Anolis sagrei: one gene and its partners. The protein of the gene in region 1 interacts with the protein of each later gene in a pairwise test. Links are inferred from orthologs where the notes say so. Each region holds a gene or a part of one and is shown on either strand. Other genes may lie near its edges.

The links.
Region 2: the proteins of IFT20 (region 1) and NUP54 interact in binary tests that used the Homo sapiens proteins (3 or more experiments, as listed by UniProt). The two-hybrid records come from large-scale screens. The link is inferred for Anolis sagrei from reciprocal best matches to the Homo sapiens genes IFT20 and NUP54.
Region 3: the proteins of IFT20 (region 1) and KXD1 interact in binary tests that used the Homo sapiens proteins (3 or more experiments, as listed by UniProt). The two-hybrid records come from large-scale screens. The link is inferred for Anolis sagrei from reciprocal best matches to the Homo sapiens genes IFT20 and KXD1.

Annotation. Positions count from the first base shown.
Region 1 is NC_090031.1:25,687,660-25,694,806, forward strand, and holds the start of IFT20 (intraflagellar transport protein 20 homolog), read right to left. Parts: upstream 3,076-7,147; 5' UTR 3,013-3,075; intron 1-3,012. UniProt on the Homo sapiens protein: Part of intraflagellar transport (IFT) particles involved in ciliary process assembly. May play a role in the trafficking of ciliary membrane proteins from the Golgi complex to the cilium.
Region 2 is NC_090025.1:13,510,074-13,517,729, forward strand, and holds the start of NUP54 (nucleoporin p54), read right to left. Parts: upstream 3,109-7,656; 5' UTR 2,938-3,108; coding exon 2,883-2,937; intron 1-2,882. UniProt on the Homo sapiens protein: Component of the nuclear pore complex, a complex required for the trafficking across the nuclear membrane.
Region 3 is NC_090034.1:50,953,074-50,960,501, reverse strand, and holds the start of KXD1 (kxDL motif-containing protein 1), read left to right. Parts: upstream 1-4,320; 5' UTR 4,321-4,482; intron 4,483-7,428.

The sequences.
Region 1 (7,147 bases):
AATAAAACAATACAATTAATATAACTTACATATAAACAATAACACACATAATTTAATAACACAGAGAATTTAAAATGGTGAATAATGCGTGCAGAGCCCAGTAAGGTGGCCTTCTGCAGCTGGCATATGAAATTTTGTCAGCGCAGATTATGTTTAAGTGCAAGCCAAGGTCTGTAGGCACTGCACCCAGTGTGCCAGTCACCACTGTGACCACCTTTAATAATAATAATAATAATAATAATAATAATAATTATTATTATTATTATTATTATGAACTGGACACACGCAGAGCCGGATGATTTGGAAAGAAAAACAAGAAAGCTGATGACAATCCACTCCTCATGACACCCGCGTAGTGATGTTGACAGATTTTACCTGCCCAGAAAATCAGGAGGCAGAGAGAGGGCTTCTGCAAGGGAAACAAATAGTAGAAGAAGAGAAACACACACTGGCAGATGATGTGAAAGGCAGTCAAGAACCAACATTGAGGAAAGTTAGTAGTAAACTGCTTCAAGTGCAAAAGACAAAGAGGGAATACTGTAAAAACACAATCCAGAGCAGAAGAGAAAACTGGCAAAAGAAGGCTCTCCATGCACAATTCCTGGCATAAATTGAGAGCCAAATTGACAAAGTAAAATCATGGCTGTGGCTCACAAATGGAACTCTGAAAAAGGAGACAAAGGAGGGCCTGATTCTGGCAGCCCAAGAACAAGCCGTTAGAACCAAAGCCATCAAAGCCAGAATTGAAAAGTTGACGACAGATCCCAAGTGTAGACTCTGCAAGGAAGCAGATGGAACAATCGATCCCATCCTCAGCTGCTGCAAGATCACGCAGATAGACTACAAGCAGAGGAACAACACCGTTGCTCAGATGATCCATTGGAACTTGTGCCACAAACACCATCTTCCTGTGACAAAGAACTGGTGGGATCACAAGCCGGAAAAAGTTACAGAGAATGAACACATCAAACGCCTCTGGGACTTCTGGATTCAGACAGACAGAGTTTTGGAGCATAATACTCCTGACTTCACGATCATGTTAAAAAACAAAGTATGGATTGTCGATGTTGCAATCCCAGGCGACAGCAGGATTGAAGGGAAACAACTGGAAAAGCTGATACGATATTAAGATTTAAAGATCGAACTGCAAAGACTCTGGCACAAGCCAGTCAAGGTGGTCCCAGTTGTGATCGGCACACTGGGTGCAGTGCCTAAAGACCTTGGCCTGCACTTAAACACAATCGGCGCTGACAAAATTACCATCTGCTATCTGCAGACGGCCACCTTACTGGGATCTACACGCATTATTCACCGATACATCACACAGTCCTAGACACTTGGGAAGTGCCCGACGTGTGATCCAATTCAACAATTACAATATACCTTGTAATATACTTACAAGGTATATATTACATATTGTATGTAATATATACCTTGTAAGCCGCTCTGAGTCTGCTGTGGACTCATCTTGTTGTGTTTCAAATAATGATGATGATGATGACGATGATGATAATAACCAGACATCACGATTGTGGAAAAGAAAATGTTATTGATGTCGCCATACCAGGTGACAGTCGCATTGAGGAAAAACAACACGAAAAATTCAGCCACTATCAAGACCTCAAAATCAAACTGCAAAGGCTCTGGCATAAACCAGTACAGGTGGTCCCAGTGGTCATTGGCGCACTGGGTGCCATGCCAAAAGATCTCAGCAGGCACCCAGTGCGCCGATGACCACTGGGACCACCTGGAGTGGTTTATGCCAGAGCCTTTGCAGTTCGATTTTGAGGTCTTGATAGCGACAAAATCACGATCTGTCAACTGCAAAAGGCCACCTGACTTGGATCTGCGCGCATCATTTGAAAATACATCACACAGTCCTAGATGCGTGGGAAGTGTTTGGTTTGTGATTTTGTGATACGAAATCCAGCACATATATCTCATTTGCTGTGACATACTGTGGTTTGGTGTCAGTATAATAATAATAATAATTCATACCCCACCTTAATAATAATAATTTATAATTTATTATTATCTTTATTTATACCCCACCTTTCTCCCCATGGGAGAAATGTTATAATGTAATGCAATGTAATAATAATATGATATTATAATTATATATTTATATTACATCATCATCATTTAATAACTTATTAATCGCCCTCCATCCGAGAATGCTCCATTCTAATATTACTAATAATATTACGATATAGTGGTATGGTGCAATATAGCAATGTTCAATGCTGATATTGTACTATGCTAATAATATAATATATTGTATGTATGTATATATATACATATATATCTTATAAGCCAATCTGAGTCCCCTTCGGGGTGAGAAGGGCGGCATATAAATGTCGTAAATAAATAAATAAATAAATGGATCTGGGTTGAAGTTGGCCCACATTCACACCTGGAACAACTTTAAAAACTGGCAAGAATTGATAGAGGACGATGGGAATTGGAGTCGATTCAAACCTGTCATGGTCACCCATAATAGATCTGGACCAAACTTGGTACGCATGCCCTCCTTTACCCAACATAATGGGTTCTTCCCTACAGTGAGTGCCTACTGCCCTCAATAGGGATGTCAGACTGCATCACCCATCATCCCCAGATGCCCTTGTGCCTTGGGAAAGGTAGAATTGAGCTTTGTGGCCTCCCTTTCCCAGAATAAATGGATCCTTCTCTATAGAGGAGGGGTTCCTAACCTTTGGTCCTCTAGGCCTTTTGGACTTCAGCTCCCACAATTCCTAACAGCTGCTAAGTTGGCTAGGATACCTGGGAGTTGAAGTCCAAAACACCTGGAGGGCCCAAGGTTGGGAACCCCTGCTCTATAGAGACATTGGACTGCACCACCCATCAGCCCAGACCCCTAGAGCCTTGGGAAAGGCTGGAATGGGCTTTGTGATCTCCTGTTCAAAGCCTGGATGGGTCCTTCCCGGCAACCAAGGCCTCTTGTATTCAATTGGGGGCTTTGGACTGCACCCTCCACCATCCCCAGGCTCTTACCTGCCCTCCAGGCCCCCTCCCCGCGCTGCCACGGCGACAGCATCAGCCCCGCCCCATTGGAACGTACCATTCGTCCAATGGGGGGAGGAGACAGAGAATCCAAAGGAGCGCTTTGCATTGTGGGAAGTGTAGTTCCCATTGGAAGAGTCCAAATCAGAAAGAAGGGGAAGGGGGATCGAGAGGCCCCCTTTGTCCCAATGAATCATAGAATCATAGAATCAAAGAGTTGGAAGAGACCTCATGGGCCATCCAGTCCAACCCCCTGCCAAGAAGCAGGAATATTGCATTCAAATCACCCCTGACAAATGGCCATCCAGCCTCTGCTTAAAAGCTTCCAATGAAGGAGCCTCCACCACACTCCGGGGCAGAGAGTTCCACTGCTGAACGGCTCTCACAGTCAGGAAGTTTTTCCTAATGTTCAGATGAAGCTTTGGAGTAGAAGTGCACAGGATTTTTCCTATAATAATAATAATAATAATAATAAATTAATAATAATGGGTTGTTGTAGGTTTTTCAGGCTGTCTGGCCATGTTCCAGAAGCATTCCCTCCTGACGTTTCGCCCACTTTTATGGTAGGCATCCTCAGAGGTTGTGAGGTCTGGGTTGTTGTAGGTTTTTTCGGGTCTAGAGGCATACTCTCCTGACGTTTCGCCTCAATCTATGGCAGGCCTATTGGAACTAGGAAAAAGGGCTTATATATCTGTGGAATGACCAGGGTGGGACAAAGGACTCTTGTCTGCTGGAGCTAGGTGTGAATGTTTCAACTGACCACCTTGATTAGCATATAATGGCCTGACAGTGCCTGGGGGAATCTTTTGTTGAGAGGTGATTAAATGTCCTTGTTCGTTTCCTCTCTGTTGTTGTGCTGTTGTAATTTTAGAGTTTTTTTTAATACTAGTAGCCAGATTTTGTTCATTTTCATTGTTTCCTCCTTTCTGATGAAATTGTCCACATGCTTGTGTATTTCAATGGCTTCTGTGTGTAATCTGACATGGTGGTTGTGAGAGTGGTCCAGCATTTCTGTGCTCTGTTTCACCATTGCCTCACCACCAGCTACTTTCAGTGGGACAATGAGTTCTATGAACAGAAAGATGGAGTAGCTATGGGGAGCCCCCATAGCTAATTTGTACATGGAACACTTTGGAAAACAAGCCCTGAAAACAGCAACAAAAAAGCCCACTATATTGAGACCCTATATTCAAGGGTCTGGAGAACAAGCCCTATGAGGAGCGGCTTAAGGAGCTGGGCATGTTTAGCCTGAAGAAGAGAAGGCTGAGAGGAGATATGATAGCCATGTATAAATATGTGAGAGGAAGCCACAGGGAGGAGGGAGCAAACTTGTTTTCTGCTTCCTTGGAGACTAGGATGCGGAACAATGGCTTCAAACTACAAGAGAGGAGATTCCATCTGAACATGAGGAAGACCTTCCTGACTGTGAGAGCCGTTCAGCAGTGGAACTCTCTGCCCCGGAGTGTGGTGGAGGCTCCTTCTTTGGAAGCTTTTAAACAGACGCTGGATGGCCATCTGTCAGGGGTGATTTGAATGCAATATTCCTGCTTCTTGGCAGAATGGGGGTTGGACTGGATGGCCCATGAGGGCTCTTCCCACTCTTTGATTCTATGATTCTATGACTCCCCCCTGGGCACACAGAGGACTGGGCGACTTGGAAGGCGCTGAACAGACTGCGCTCTGGCACCACAAGATGCAGAGCCAATCTTAAGAAATGGGGCTACAAAGTGGAATCCACGACATGCGAGTGCGGAGAAGAGCAAACCACTGACCACCTGCTGCAATGCACCCTGAACCCTGCTGCATGCACAATGGAGGACCTTCTTGCAGCAACACCAGAGGCACTCCAAGTGGCCAGATACTGGTCAAAGGACATTTAATCAACTACCAAGTTTGCAAAATTTGGGTTTTTTTTATCTGTTTGTTTGTTTTGTTCTGTTAGAAATGTAATACAATGGTACGGTTGCTGATGACACAATAAATAAATAAAAAACCTCTCAACAAAAGATTCTCCCAGGCACTAAGAAGCCACACCTAAAAACTGTCAGGCCTTCAAATGCTAATCAAGCTGGCCAATGGCAACATTCACACTTGCCTCCAACAGACAAAAGTTCTTTCTCCCACCCTGGACATCATTCCACAGATATATAAACCCATTTTTCCTAGTTTCCAACAGCCCTCACAACCTCTGAGGATGCCTACCATAGATGTGAGCGAAACGTCAGGAGAGAATGCTTCTGGAACATGGTCAGACATCCCGAAAAACCTACAACAACCCAGTGATTCCGGCTATGAAAGCCTTCGACAACACATTATTATTATTATTATTATTATTATTATTATTAATATGAAACATAATAAAATAAGTATATAAATATAATATAAAAATAAATATATAAATTATATATATATATATATATATATAATATGAAACATTAAAAAATAAAAATCATACAATAAATATGAAACATAATAAAAATACATTCCATTATTGCTTTGAAAAATTTTAAGAAATAATAATGAAGCCCTTTGGTATAATTTTCCATTAAAATATTGTAAAACCATTAAAATATTGTAAAAGTATTGTATTTCCCATTCAAATATTGTAAAATATTTGAGGATCCCTCAAAGACATCAAAGTGTCTGTGCGTATTTTTCGTGCTTTTAAATATATATATATAACATGTCTTTATTAATGTTTGAAAAGAAAAGCAGAGGGCCGATAAAGTGGATTTGAATGGCGCTCGATAGCTCTGCCTTCGACTCCTTTTGCCTGGCTGGGGAGGAAGCGAGGGAACGAGGCGGATGACGTCATACGTAACGTCATCCTCGTCCGTTTATGATTGCGTAAGGAGCGCTGCGACGCGATGGCATGCCGGGATTTGTAGGCGGAAGTTTCTGACTGGCGAGGGCGGCCTGTTGCTGGAGGCTAGAGCTTCGAGCTCCGCCCTTCGGTTGGGCTGGGGACGCGGAGGGCGCGCCGACCCGCTCGGGAGACGGTTCAGTTCAGCCCGGGGAGTTTCGGAGGCCTCGGAGAGCGACGGCCGCGACCCCTTCGGCGTTTTGAGGAAGGAAAGAGGCGGCGGGTGAGGAGGACGCCCAAAGCGAGGCGGGCGGGCCCCGGAGAGCGGGAGGGAGGGGAGGCATTAAAGGGTGGGATTGATTTTGTGTTTGGTGGGTCAGTGCCTGGAAAGGAAGTGGAGCGGGCGGGCGGGGATAATTGATTTTGGAGCCCTGTTCCATTTTCAGGCAAGGTTAGAAAAGGAGAAGAGGAAGGGTATATTAGAGGTTCTTTAATAGGGACAGGTGGACGTTCAAGAGGGAGGACTTTAGATGAATGCACAACAGGTAGAACTTTAGGTGCATGTCCAGCAGGTAGACCTTTACATGAATGCACAACAGGCAGAACTTTAAGTGCATGTCCCAACAGATAGAGCTTAGGTGGATGGTGAGCTTTGGGTGGATGTCCAACAGGTAGAACATTAGGTGAATGTACTAAAGGTAGAGCTTTAGGTGGATGTACCAATGATAGAGCTTAGGTGGATGGCGAGCTTTGGGTGAATGTCCAACAGGCAGAGCTTTGGGTGAATGTACCAAAGGTAGAGCTTTAGGTGCATGTCCAACAGGTAGAACTTTAGGTGGACGTCCAACAGGTAGACCTTTAGATGAATGCACAAGAGGTAGAACTTTAGGTGGACGTCCAACAGGTAGACCTTTAGATGAATGCACAAGAGGTAGAACTTTAGGTGGACATCCAACAGGTAGAGCTTTAGATGAATGCACAACAGGTAGAGCTTCGTGTGGATGTCCCAAAGGTGGATGGTGAGCATTGGGTGAATGCCCAACAGGTAGAATTTAGGTGCATGTCCAACCCGTAGAATTTTGGGTGGCTGTTCAATAGGTAGAGCTTTAGGTGGATGTACCAATGATAGAGCTTAGGTGGATGGCGAGCTTTGGGTGAATGTCCAACAGGTAGAACATTAGGTGGATGTCCAACAGGCAGAGCTTTAGGTGGATGTACCAAAGGTAGAGCTTTAGGTGGATGGTGAGTTTGGGTGAATGTCCAACAGGTAGAACTTTAGGTGGATGTCCAACAGGTAGAGCTTCAGGTGGATGTTCCAAAGGT
Region 2 (7,656 bases), on another chromosome or scaffold:
CCAAAAATCCCAGTGAGTTTACCAGCTGTTAGGATTTTTGGGAGTTAAAGGCCAAAGCATTTGGGGACCCACAGGTTGAGAATCACTGATCTTGGGCCTCTTCCACACAGCTGAATAAAATCCCATATTGGCAAAAGTATGATAGCTGGGACCCTATGATGGTTGCGCACCATGGGTCAGAATTCGTGAAGGGAATGCATGCGCGAGACAGTGCAGTGAGTGAGAGACGCAGCAGCGAAGGAGGGAGGAGGACGTGGTCTATGGCTTACATGTCATCCCCTCCCAGAGCCCCGGCTCCTTCACTGTCAGAAAGTGGGTGGGGGAAAGCACAAGAAGGGGGGGAGGAATCCAGTTCCTGCCGCTCTGTTTGCACTAGAGCCTTGTAAAAACCTTCCCCGGCCGCCAGCACACTTTCCGCCCTTTGAGAAAGAAGCCCAGCATGGAAGCAACGAAGGAAGTATAAAGAACTTTGTGTTACAGAAACCTTGTTCTTGTAAATAGTGTTGTTGTTTTTCATTCGTTCAGTCGTCTCCGACTCTTTGTGACCTCATGGACCAGCCCATGCCAGAGCTCCCTGTCGGCCGTCACCACCCCCAGCTCCTTCAAGGTCAGTCCAGTCACTTCAAGGATGCCATCCATCCATCTTTCCCTTGGTCGGCCCCTTTTCCTTTTACCTTCCACTTTCCCCAGCATAATTGTCTTCTCTAGGCTTTGCTGTCTCCTCATGATGTTGCCAAAGTACTTCAACTTTGTCTCTAGTATCCTTCCCTCCAGTGAGCAGTCGGGCTTTATTTCCTGGAGGATGGACTGGTTGGATCTTCTCGCAGTCCAAGGCACTCTCAGAACTTTCCTCCAGCACCACAGTTCAAAAGCATCGATCTTCCTTCGCTCAGCCTTCCCTAAGGTCCAGCTCTCACATCCGTAGGTTACTACAGGGAATACCATGGCTTTGACTAGGCGGATCTTTGTTGCCAGTGTGATGTCTCTACTCTTTACTATTTTATCAAGATTGGCCATTGCTCTCCTCCCAAGAAGTAAGTGTCTTCTGATTTCCTGGCCACAGTCTGCATCTGCAGTAATCTTTGCTCCTAGAAATACAAAGTCTGTCACGGCCTCCACATTTTCTCCCTCTATTTCCCAGTTGTCAATCATTCTTGTTGCCATAATCTTGGTTTTTTTGATGTTTAGCTGCAACCCAGCTAAATAGTGTAAATAGTGTAACCATATTATTTTACTACAAAGAAAAGCCTCCAAAAGAAAAGATAACATTGGTCTGTGTGTTTTTCGTCTTTTTACCACTTTGGACTACTGGTGCTGGGTCATGATGCTGCTAGTAAGTTACTCTACTCTACATTTATTATTATTATTATTATTATTATTATTATTATGTCTGATAAATTCTAATTTCAAAGGGTGGAGGCCTGAAACTAGAAGGCTGCCCACAAGGCCGTAGCCAGAAAAAAATTTCGGGGAGGGTTGACAATTTGGGGGGGGGGGGTGTTTGAACATTTGGGGGGGGGGTTGAAACCTGCCTCCTAGCTCACGCTGAAGCAAAGAGCACAGCAGGGAGCAGAGCAGCCTTCAATAGCCTGCAGCTCCACCCCTGTCAACCACCTCCACCAAGTCTGGCCTCCTTAATGAGTTGCTTGGTTGCTGCAGTACACTGGCTATTGCTGCAAGTAATGGCAGTGTGAATAAATTGTCAATATTTGCTTGAGATAGTGCTTACAGTTCTGGGGGGACTCTTAATTTTTTGCATCTCATAGACTTAGCATGGGGATTGGGTTAACCAGTTAAAATTCATGAGTAAACCAGGCTTTTAAAAAAATCTGAAACATTTCGGGGGGATGTATTGTCGAAGGCTTTCATGGCTGGAATCACTAGGTTCTTGTGGTTTTTTTTCGGGCTATAGAGCCATGTTCTAGAGGCATTTCTCCTGACGTTTCGCCTTCATCTATGGCAAGCATCCTCAGAGGTAGTGAGGTCTGTTGGAATTAGGACAATAGGTTTATATATCTGTGGAATGGCTGGGGTGGGGCAAGGAGCTCTTCTCTGCTGGAGCTAGGTGTGAATGTTTCAACTGACCACCTTCATTAGCATTTGAAGGCCTGGCTGAGCCTGGGAAAATCCCCTGTTGAGAGGTGTTAAGATGTGCCTGGATGTTTCCTCTCTGCTGTTTTGCTGTTGTAATTTTAGAGTTTTTTTAATACTGGTAGCCAGATTTTGTTCATTTTTGTGGTCTCTTCCTTTCTGTTGAAATTGTCCACATGCTTGTGGATTTCAATGGCTTCTCTGTGTAGTCTGACATGGTGGTTGTTGGAGTGGTCCAGCATTTCTGTGTTCTCAAATAATATGCTGTGTCCAGGCTGGTTCACCAAGTGCTCTGCTATGGCTGACTTCTCTGGTTGAAGTAGTCTGCAGTGCCTTTCATGTTCCTTTCGGGGTGAGTTTGAACCCCTAAAACCACCCCCTCGCTACAGGCCTGGCTGCTCATATAGTTCACGTGAGGCAATATCTGAATGGAGGACTTCTTGGATCAGGGCCGGCCATCAAACACTTCCCAACAAAGGCAGGAAGCAGCCAGGCCTTGAAGCTAAAAGGCTACTCAGTACTTAGCAAGCTGGGCAACAGCAACAGGGAAAAGAGTTCTTTCTCCCAACCTGGATATATAAACCCCATTTGCCTAGTTTCCAACAAGCCTCACAACCTCTGAGGATGCCTGCCATAGATGTAGGAGAAACGTCAGGAGAGAATACTGCTGGAATATGGCCATACAGCCAAAAAGACTCACAGCAACGTAGTGACCCTGGCGTTAGAGTACACACAGCAGCCACCCTCCCTCCCTCCCCTCCGGAGTGTCTCCCTGTTTCTCTCTGACTCACCCGCGGGGTTCGGGGCGGCGGCAGCGCTGGCAGCGGCCCCGAAGTTGAAAGCCATGAGGCGGGAGGAAGGCCGCAGACCCGCTCACAGAAGGAGGGTCCGCCTCTATCCGCGTCCGGGCGGAAACACTCACCCCGGGGAGAAAAGGGCCGGGCAAAGTGTACAGATAGGAAAGGATATACATCCATCAGATAGGAAAGAATATACATACATCCGTACACATTTATACACACACACACACACACACATATATATATACCTACATAGATATATGTGTGTGTGAGGGGGTAGTTTTATCTCTACAAGGACAAGGCTTCACCCGGACCTTAAAGCAAGGAGCACCGCGCTGAGAGGTTGGTTGCCACAGCGCATGCGCAGATTGTTTGCATGCGAGGCACCTTGTTGACACGGCGCACGCTAAGGACGTCAAGCAATGTCATCGGCGCTCTTTAATGACGTCAAGCAATGACATTCAAGTGTAACTTCTAGACTGAGTACTGGCTTCTGAACTAGTTTCTTCCAATTAAAGGCAGGCCATTTAAAGATATATATTTCCCTCTGCAGGAATGATGTAGCCATGGTGGATAATATACCAATATATATATATGATAATATATACATAATAATATAAATTATTATTATGAAGTCTGACTTGGCCACGGTAGTCCACGCTCTGGTTACATCCCGTTTAGACTACTGCAACGCTCTCTACGTGGGGTTGCCTTTGAAGACAGCTCGGAAGCTCCAACTAGTCCAACGCTCGGCAGCCATGATTTTAACAGGAGCGGAGCGCAGGGAGCATACAACCCCCCTGTTGCGCCAACTCCACTGGCTACCGATCTGCTACTGGGCTGAATTCAAAGTGCTGGCGTTGGCCTTTAAAGCCCTAAACGGTTCCGGCCCAAGCTACCTATCTGACCGCATCTCTGCCTATGAACCCACCAGGACTTTAAGATCTTCCAGGGAGACCCTGCTCTCGATCCCGCCTGCTTCTCAAGCTCGGCTGGTGGGGACGAGAGATAGGGCCTTCTCGGTGGTGGCTCCTCAGCTGTGGAACGCCCTTCCTACGGACATTAGGCTAGCACCATCTCTGATGGTATTCCGCAAAAAAGTGAAGACCTGGCTGTTTGAGCAGGCGTTCGAATAATTAGTGCAATGATTGGTTAATGAACACTGGAATAGAACAATGGATGACGAATCTGGAACATGTTTTTTATGATGAGACGACAGTGAATGGGTATTGTAGCAACTGTTTATTAATTAAACAGCTACTCACTACCTCTGAGGATGCTTGCCATAGATGCAAGCGAAACGTCAGGAGAAATGCCTCTAGAACATGGCCCTATAGCCCGAAAAAACCCACAAGAACCTAGTGATTCCAGCCATGAAAGCCTTCGACAATACATTGTTTATTAACTGTGTAATGTGTTAGGTTGTTAACTGTTTCTATACTGTAGCACTGGATTTTTGCTGTTCATATTTGTTGTGAACCGCTGTGAGTCGCCTTCGGGCTGAGAACAGCAGTATATAAGTTAGGTAAATAAATAAATAAATAAAATAATATATCACAATGATTTCTATATATATGTTATTATATATAAATAATAAATTATGATGCCTGCCGTAGATGTGATATTTATTTATATTATATAATATAAATAATGTAAATTAAATATAAATAGTAATAAATTACTACGATGGATAATATATGAGGAAAATATATATTAATAATTGTGCATAAATAATAATTTATAATATATTATTATGATTGGTAATATATAATGATGATGATAATATTATATATATGGTGAGATGTGTTCCACACTGGGCATGCATACTCAGCAAAGTGCAAGAGTAGCATAACGCAAGGGCAGATGTCCTCACTGTGTCTGTTTGTGATCCCCAGGTTGTGCCAGTCAGCTTTCGTATGATATTGTTTCTAGCACCCAATTTTTGCTTGATATTCAGGCAGTGCTTCTTGTAGGTCAGTGAATGGTCCAGGGTAACTCCCACTTATTTGGGTGTGCTGCAATGCTCCCGTGGGTTTTCTTTGGACTGCTAGGTTGGCAGAAGCTCACTCCACTCCCATATTTATACCCCACCTTTCTCAATCCCTCAGGGGACTCAAGGTGGCTTACATCTATAGACAGCGATTCAATGGCATGCAAACATAGTAAAATAAACATACATTTTAAAAAATCATTAAAACATATCAAACCTTAAAACCATTTATTTAAAAACATTATCCAAAATCATAATCCATGGCTGTTCCAAATTGTCATTTCACTATTTCATATTTTTCTAATGGGTTACTAACCAAACTATCCCACATCCATGTCTTTAGCCTTTTCCTGAAGGTCAGGAGGGAGGGGGCTGATCTGACCTCATTAGGGAGGGAGTTCCATAGCCGAGGGGCCACCACTGAAAAGGCCCTATCTCTTGTCCCCACCAACCGCACCTGTGAAAGAGGCAGGACCGAGAGCAGGGCCTTCCCAGACAATCTTAACCTTCTAGCTGGCTCTTAGAGGGAGAAACGTTCAGACAGGTAAACTGGGTCAGAACCATTAAGGGCTTTATAGGCTAAAACCAGCACTTTGAATTGTGCTTGGTAGCAGAGTGGCAGCCAGTATTTCCCTCAATGTTATACAATCAACTTTCCTTAAATCCAAGGCTTGTGTTTGTTTGTGCTCGTCTTTGGCCAGTTCCACAATCAGGAAATGTAGCACTACATTATCACAACATCCCTAAGGTTTTGTTGCATACCTTCAAGTTGCTTCCACCTTACAACAACCTTAAGCATCTTTCTCATGCTGAAGGTATGGGACTGACTCAACCAAGGACATGCGGTGGGTTGAACTGTGGTTGGTCTCCGGAGTCACAGTCAAACATGCAAAACAGCACACTACACTGGTTCAGCTTACCTTAGTAGTTCCTTCACTTTCACAGCAAGCACGTTTTCCCCCAATGCACCACTTGCTTTGATTCCAGTGAACAATGAAGAGAAAGGCAATGAAACAACAAAAAAGCCATTTATTCTGAATACTCCACATTCATGGACAAAGTTCAGTGAAGCTTACTTGGTTTGTTACATATTACGTGGTGAGTAAAGAGCCACATTGTTACAAGCCCCTCCTCAAAAAAGGACACAGTCGTAACATCAAAGAAGACTGATTTACCCAGGATAATGCTTCCAATTAAAGAAAGTTAAAAATTTAAATGGTTGATCTGTTATGGCCTTCTGACACTGTACAGTATTTCCCCTTTTGCATTAAAATGCCCTCAAACTGACTCTTTACAAGTAGTATTAGTGTTCTCTGGCTGTTCGACTGTACATGTTTTTGGTTAGTCTTCTATGTGCATAAAACAGACCTCAGGAAAAAAGAGTATCTTACTGTTTGTTTAAGGAAATGATGAAGATCAGCTCTTGTGTTGCATCGGAAACAATACAGAAACGGGCGACACTTGGAAAACTAACAAATTTATTATAGCATGACCACAAAATGTTATGTTTTCATACATTTGTTAGTTTTTAGGGTACCTTAGTATAAAGACGACAGATTTACCAATTTGATCTTAATACAAATCCTAAGGAAGTTGCTATTCCTCAGGCTGAAGTCCTCCTCACGTAAAACAAAGCTGACATTCGCTCCCTTAAGAGTTATTGTAATGATTACCCAGATTATTAGTACCTGAAGCTCTTTGAGAAGTGAACACAGCCACCCTGTAAACACTATTGTGTTAGAACGCATGCTGCTCACATTGAAAAGAAACTGCAAGTAAAGGAAGTGAAGGAGAATTGGGCTAATCCACGCATGGGCAAACTTCGGCCCTCCAGGTGTTTTGAACTTCAACACCCACAATTCCTAACAATATTATTAAATATTTGCCACTGTATGTTGTGAACTGCCCTAAATCCCCAAGCTTATAACTTTTTCTCTAATATACTGTAGTTTTGAATTTGCTATCCAAGCACAACCTCTGTGCTAAAAAGAAAAATGATATGAAACCTGCTAGAAATGGAAAAAGGTGCACTAGCTGGATCTTTTGTCCAACCTAATCCTTACAGTTGGTTCAATTCTTACAGTTAAGAAAGAGAAGAAAAATGAGAAACAGCTGAGAAAGAAGATAAATGGTATGAACCCTACTAGAAATTGAAAAAGGTGCATTAGATGGATCTTTGGTCCAACTCGATTCTTACAGTTGGTTCAATGGCTCTTGGGCTAGACTAATGGGTATTAACAATAAGCGGCAATCATTTGTAAATATATTGTGAATCAAAAAATCCATGTATTTTTGACACATACAGTCTTGCTTATCCAACCTTCACTCATCCAACGTTCTGTATTATCCAACGCAATCTGCCTCCTGCCTGGATCCACAGCTGTTTCAATACATTGCAATGTTTTGGTGCTAAATTCGTAAATACAGTAATTACTACATAACGTTACCGTGTATTGAGCTGCATTTTCTGTCGATTTGTTGTAAAACATGTTTTGTTGCTTAATTTGTAAAATCATAACATAATTTGACGTTTAATAGGCTTTCCTTAATCCCTCCTTATTATCCAACATTTTAGCTTATCCAATGTTCTGCTGGCCCATTTATGTTGGATATGCAAGACTCTACTGTATTCCAAAACAGAGGGGGAAATGTTTACATTGCCAGCAAGACTAGTAATTACTTTACTGTTATGAGAAGGAATAGGAGGAGAGGAAAAATCAGGAAGGGGGGATTTGGTGAACACACTCAGTGAGGTTTCAGCTAATACTGCACTTG
Region 3 (7,428 bases), on another chromosome or scaffold:
AATAAATGTAATAATAATCATTAGAGTAAAATAATAAATGTAATAATAATAAATGGAGGTGCTCTTGGGGGAAAATAGACCTTGACATATGCGAGTTGTAGTTACTGGGATGTATAGTTCACCTACAGTCAAAGAGCATTCTGAACTCCACCAATAATAAAATCGGGCCAAATTTCCCACACAGAACCCCCACAACCAACAGAAAATACTGTGTTTTCTGATGGTCTTTGGCGTTCCCTCTGACACCCCATCGCGACCCCCCCCCCAGGGGTCCCGACCCCCAGGTTGAGAAACTCGGAGCAAACATAGCAAACTTGAAGTACTGATGGACTTTCTCGGGGTTAACCTGGCATGATGTGAGTTGTAGTTCACCCACAACTTTATGCATTTAGGACATTTACAAAACTGACTTTTTCAAATAACATGGGCAATGCCAGGCACCCAAGCTAGTAATAAGTAAAAGAAAATACAACAACATGAAACCAGTAATAACATTACATAAAATAAAATAATAAAATTAGTATAATATAATATTATGTGTGTGTGTGTGTGTGTGTGTGTATTACTAATCTATACACATAATAAAAGTGAAAATGTGTATGACTGTATGTGGTGGAGGTGTCCAGTTACACAGACAGCCTCCTGCCTCCACAAAGGCTATAGTTCCCACTATGCAGGAAGCACCGATTGCCCTCCCTCCACTGACATTCCAGGTTAGAGTGGGCACTATGAACATGTTTCCCTACCCCTGGCAATGTCGTCCCCAAACACCATACTGCACGACACCCAAGGAAAGCTTTCATTCAGAGACGAATTCATCCTAGATGTTCTGTTTTGCCTCCAACAAACAACAACAGAGAGGAAACAAAAAAGGACTTCTAATCACCTCTCAACAAAAGTTTGCTCCAGGCACTGTCAGGCCATTATATCAAGGTGGTCAGCTGAAACATTCACACCTAGCTCCAACAGACAAGAGTCCTTTGTCTCACCCTGGTCATTCCACAGATATATAAACCCTTTTTCCTAGTTCCAACAGACCTCACTACCTCTGAGGATGCTTGCTATAGATGCAGGTGAAACGTCAGGAGAATGCCTCTAGACCATGGCCATATAGCCCGAAAAAACCTACAACTCAGTGATTCCGGCCATGAAAGCCTTCGATAATACATTAAACAATGCTTTTTTCAAATAACTCGTGGACCGCCGAGTCCCCAAGCTAGTATTACTAATAGACATAAAATTAATATAAAACAATATAATATATGTATAATAATAATAATAATAATAATAATAAAACTTTATTTATACCCCGCTACCATCTCCCCAAGGGACTTGGAGTGGCTTACATGAGGCCAATCCCAACAACACATCGATAAAAACAACAAGCAATAAGCAAAATAAATAATACAATTAATATAACTCACACATAGACAATAACACACAATGATTTCAAAACCTATGGCTGGGCCAGATGTAATTAAACCAAAAGTAGAGAGCAACCCAACGGGTAATTAAAGTGCTTCTGAGGATATTTTATATATTATAAATATACAATTTAATAATAATAATAATAATAAGAGAAGAATGTGGGATATAAATATAGTGCTAAAATATTACTAATAAAAATAAATTAAATTAAATATAATTAATATAATATTATGGGTGTGCATATATTACTAATATACAATTTAATAATAATAGGAGAAGTGGGATACAAATATTACTAATAAGAATAAAATAAAATAAATAAAATAGAATTAATATCATATAATATTATGAGTGTGCATATATTACTAATACACAATTTAATAATAATAAGAGTAGTGGGATACAAATATTACTAATAAGAATAAAATTAAATAAATAAAATATAATTAATATCATATAATATTATGTGTGCGTATATATTACTAATATACAATTATTATTAGCATTATTATTATAAGAGAAGAAAGGAGGATATAAATATAATATTAAAATAGGAATAATAGAATAAAATACATATAATATAAAGTGTATATATTACTAATATATTATTTAATAATAATAATAATAATAATAATTTTATGATTTCCTCATGGCGGTTCACGGCACAGTCAAAACACACAAACATTGCAAGAAAAAAAATCCATAAACGCATGTATTAAAATGTTAGTTCTAGAATATACCAATTCTATCAAATGCATATGGAGTACACAGGGCAGAGATTGAAACACATTGAGAAACCTAAAGACTGTAGACATTATGCTGGGTGGAAGGAGGAAGAAATTAAAAGCAGGAGAGAAGCCAGATTCTGAATGTCTTGCACTCATCTTGCAAGCCATTGCAAGCAGAAGAGAGAAGCGACCCATTGCAATGCAAAGGCAGTAGGGTGGGCAGGAAATGGCATGGCTTTTACCCCAATCTCCAATCCCCCTTCACTTTCCTCTGCTTGCAAAACACTCACCTGGACCCAGGAATTGCTCACTTCCTTGGTCCCGCCTCTCTTTCCATCAGCTGATGGCCGAGGAGGCGGCTGATAGGCTGCGAGAGCTGCCACTCCAGCCTGACCTCCGCACACCCCCATTGCGCAACCTCTTAAAGGGACAGTGACCATCCCCAGACTGTATATTTACCACCAGCTTTCTACTTATGCCTTTTCAGACTACAGTTCTCATCAGGCTTCTCTTTGTGATTACAGTTCTCACCAGCTTTTCCTTAATGTCTTTACAGACTACATTTCCCATCAGCCTCTCTGTCTTTTCAGATTACAGTTCCCATCAGCCTTGACTTTGTGACCTTTCGGATTACAGTTCCCATCAGCCTTTCCTTAATTTCTTTACAGACTACAGTTCCCATCAGACTTTGTGTCATTTCAGATTACAGTTCCCATCAGCCTTTGTGTCTTTTCAGATTACAGTTCCCATTAGTCTTCCCTTTGGGTCTTTATAGACTACAGTCCCAATCTGCCTTTATGTCCTTTTGGACTACAGTTCACACCAGCCTTCCCTTTGTGTCTTTAAACTACAGTTCCCATCAAGCTTCCCTTTGACTTTACAGACTACGGTTCCCATCATCCTTCCCTTTGTACCCTTTCGGATTACAGTTCCCATTAGCCTTTCCTGAATGTCTTTACAGACTACAGTTCCCATCATCCTTCCTTTTGGGTCCTTACAGGCTACAGTTCCCATCAGCTTTTCCTTAAGGTCTTTACAGACTACAGTTCACATCAAGCTTTCCTTTGTGTCTTTACAGACTACAGTTCCCATCATCCTTCCCTTTGTGTCTTTACAGGCTACAGTTCCCATCAGCTTTTCCTTAAGGTCTTTACAGACTACAGCTCACATCAGCTTTTCCTTAAAGTCTTTACAGACTACAGTTCACATCAAGCTTTCCTTTGTGTCTTTACAGGCAACAGTTCCCATCAGCTTTTCCTTAAGGTCTTTACAGACTACAGTTCCCATCAAACTGACCTTTGCCCCGATCCGAGGTTTTAAAATGAATCTGCGTATTCAGGATGACTCAGTGGAGAGAATGAAGTAATACTTTAACTGGAAGAATAATATAATATTTTATATTGACATATAATATTAATAATAATATTATACATTATAATACTAATAATAATATGATATAATACATAATACTAATATTGTGCTATGCTAATAATATCATATATTACATATTCATATAATATTAATAATACACTATAACAATATATAATACTAATATTGTGCTATGCTAATATTATCATATATTATATATTCATATAATATTAATAATACACTATAATAATATATAATACTAATATTGTGCTATGCTAATATCATCATATATTATATATTCATATAATATTAATAATACACTATAATAATATATAATACTAATATTGTGCTATGCTAATATCATCATATATTATATATTCATATAATATTAATAATACAATATAACAATATATAATACTAACATTGTGCTATGCTAATATTATTATATATTATATATTCATATAATATTAATAATGTAATATAATACTATATAATACCAATATAACACTAATATATGAAATATATTACTGCTGATAATATATAATAATATAAAAATGGCAATACTATTTTATTGTTTTCTGAAAAGATGAAGCGGGATATCAATCCAAAAAAATCGATGAATGAATAAATCTAATATCTGTGTTATTGCATTCCCATAACATAGAGAGGGCGTGGTTTAGCCCTCTTTTTATCCCCCAATGAAAATGCGGCGGGGGCGGAGCCAACGGAGTAGGAAGCAAAGCGCAGGCGGGTCCACCATTGCTAGGGTAACCACGCAGGGCACGTCCAGGGACGCAAAGCCTATGTCAGCGCGTAGCCACGCCCCACCCGGAAGTGAGCCGTTAGAGGCTGTTGGAAAGGAGCCTTCCGGTGGGGCTGAGTGGAAGAAGCGCTCTCTCTCAGCGCAGGCCTCGGTCGCGTCAGGGATGTGAGCTTTTGGCTTTGGAGCTTCTTTCAGGTGCGTCGGGGGCGGGGCCAAAATGGCCATTGGGGAACAGTGAGTGGGCGGGGCCTGACCCGATGGAGTGTCTCAGGGGGCGGGGTTGTGGGCGGAGCTTGGGGAAGGGGCGGAGTTTGGGAAGGGTCCTCTTCTGCCAACACAGATACAGACTTATAGAATCATAGAATCAAAGACTTGTCAGCTGGAAAGGAGGGGGTTTCCTATTGGGAAGGGCTTGTTGGCTTTCACAAGGGGCAATCCTTGTGAGGTTTGTGGGCTACTGAGCACAGAAGTCATAGAATCATAGAGTTGGAAGAGACCCCATTCTGCCATGCAGGAAAAGCACAGTCAAAACACCCCTGACAGAAGGCAATTTAGGCTTACAATTTAGAGTTACAAGCTGGGTAGGTGCAGAGAATGCTGTGGATTTCAGTAAGGCCTTCAACAAGGTCCCCCATGACCTTCTGGCAAACTAGTCCAATGTGGGCTAGCCAAAACTACGGTTAGGTGGATCTGTAATTGGTTAAGCGGACGAACCCAGAGGGTGCACACCAATGTATTGTCAAAGGCTTTCATGGCCGGAATCACTGGGTTGTTGTAGGTTTTTTCGGGCTGTATGGCCATGGTCTAGAGGCATTCTCTCCTGACGTTTCGCCTGCACTTGGCAAGCATCCTCAGAGGTAGTGAGGCCTGTTGGAGCTAGGCAAAAGGGTTTATATATCTGTGGAATGACCAGGGTGAGACAAAGGACTCTTCTCTGTTAGAGCTAGGTGTGAATGTTCCAACTGACCACCATGATTAGCATACAATGGCCTGACCGCGCCTGGGGCAAGCTTTTGTTGAGAGGTAGATGTCCTTGCCTGTTTCCTCTGTTGTGCTGTTGCAATTTTAGAGTTTTTTAATACTGGTAGCCAGATTTTGTTCATTTTCATTCTTTCCTCCTTTCTGTTGAAATTGTCCACATGTTTGTGTATTTCAATAGCTTCTCTGTGTAGTCTGACATGGTGGTTATGAGAGTGGTCCAGCATTTCTGTGTTTTCAAATAAAATGCTGTGTCCAGGTTGGTTCATCAGGTGCTCTGCTATGGCTGATTTCTCTGGTTGAAGTAGTCTGCAGTGCCTTTCATGTTCCTTGATGCGTGTCTGGGCAATACTGCTGCATTTGGTGGTCCCTATGTAGACTTGTCCACAGCTGCATGGTACACGGTAGACTCCTGCAGAGGTGAGAGGATCCCTTTTGTCCTTTGCTGAACGTAGCATTTGTTGGATTTTCTTGGTGGGTCTGTAGATAGTTTGTATGTTGTGTTTCCTCATCAGCTTCCCTATGCGGCACTACAAATAAGATACATGCAGTGTGCATAGGAATTCATTCATTTTTTTCCAAATTATAATCCGGCCCTCCACCAGTTTGAGGGACTGTGACCTGGCCCTCTGTTTAAAAAGTTTGTGCACCCCTGTTCTAGAGGCATTTTCTCCTGACGTTTCGCCTGCATCTATGGCAAGCATCCTCAGTGGTAGTGAGGTCTGCTGGAACTAGGAAAAAGGGTTTATACATCTGTGGAATGACCAAGGTGGGACAAAGGACTCTTGTCTGTTGGAGCTAGGTGTGAATGTTTCAACAGCAGTACAATACAATACAGCAACATAAAATATAAACAAAAAAATAACATCACAGTAAAAATAAACCGATAAAATAAAATAAATAATATAAAATAACATAATATAAAATCAAACACAATAGGTAGGCCAGATGTTTGACATAAAATTATAAAACACTAGATGAGATAGCAATGAAAAGTGCAATTTGTAGGGAAGGAGCTCGTAGAGGACTGAACAGTGGAGTTAAACTTTCAATAAGTTGGGGGAAAGTGCAATATGGGGAGAATGCTCTTTGAATGCAATTTTCCTGCTGCTTGGCACTGGATGGTTTTGAGGTCTCTTCCAACTCTATGATTCTATGATTATGATTCTAAGATCCGATGGGCCATCTCGTCTGACCCCATTCTGCCATGCAGGAAAAGCACAATCAAAATACCCTTGACAGAAGGCAATTTAGGCTTCTCAGCTGTTAAACTGAAATCCCTGGTTATCTCTTTGAACTGTTAAGGACAACGTTATGCCAATGCACAACATATATACCAGATCTTCAGAAGTGCATGTGAAAAAGATCTCTCTGCCCCGGAGTGTGGCTGGGGCTCCTTCTTTGGGGGCTTTGAAACAGAGGCTGGATGGCCATCTGTCAGAGATGCTTTGAATTCAATTTTCCTGCTTCTTAGCAGGGAATTGGACTGGATGGCCCATGAGGTCTCTTCTAACTCTATGATTCTATGATTATATTTTCTCCTTTTTCTTTTATATTTGTTTATATGCCTATATGTACTTTGGTATAAGTCTAAGTCAAACTCAATGTATAAGTCAAAGGCAGGTAGGAGAGCCAAAATGAGTCACCTTTCACCACTCAGAGAAAGGGATAGTTCCATTTTTTTTTACAAGAGTTAAGATGCAGTATTTACATTGATGTTTCATATACACCTTATACACATAAGTCTGAAGACTGTTGCACATGAAACTAAGTCCATGTATATTAAGCTACCAGGCTTTTAAACAGAGGTTGGATAGCCATCTTTCGGGGGTGCTATCTACACCCCGCCTTTCTCTACCCCAAAGGAGGCTCAAGGCAGCTTAAAAGGTAAGGTAAAGGTTGTCCCCTGACATTAAGTCCAGTCATGTCTGACTCTGGGGGTTGGTGCTCATCTCCATTTCTAAGCCGAAGAGCCGGGGTTGTCCGTAGACACCTCCAAGGTCATGTAGCCAGCATGACTGCATGGAGCGCCATTACCTTCCCGCCGGAGCGGTAACTATTGATCTACTCACATTTGCATATTTTCGAACTGCTAGGTTGGCAGGAGCTAGGGGTGACAGCAGAAGCTCACGCTGCTCCCCGGAATCAAACCTGCGACCTTTA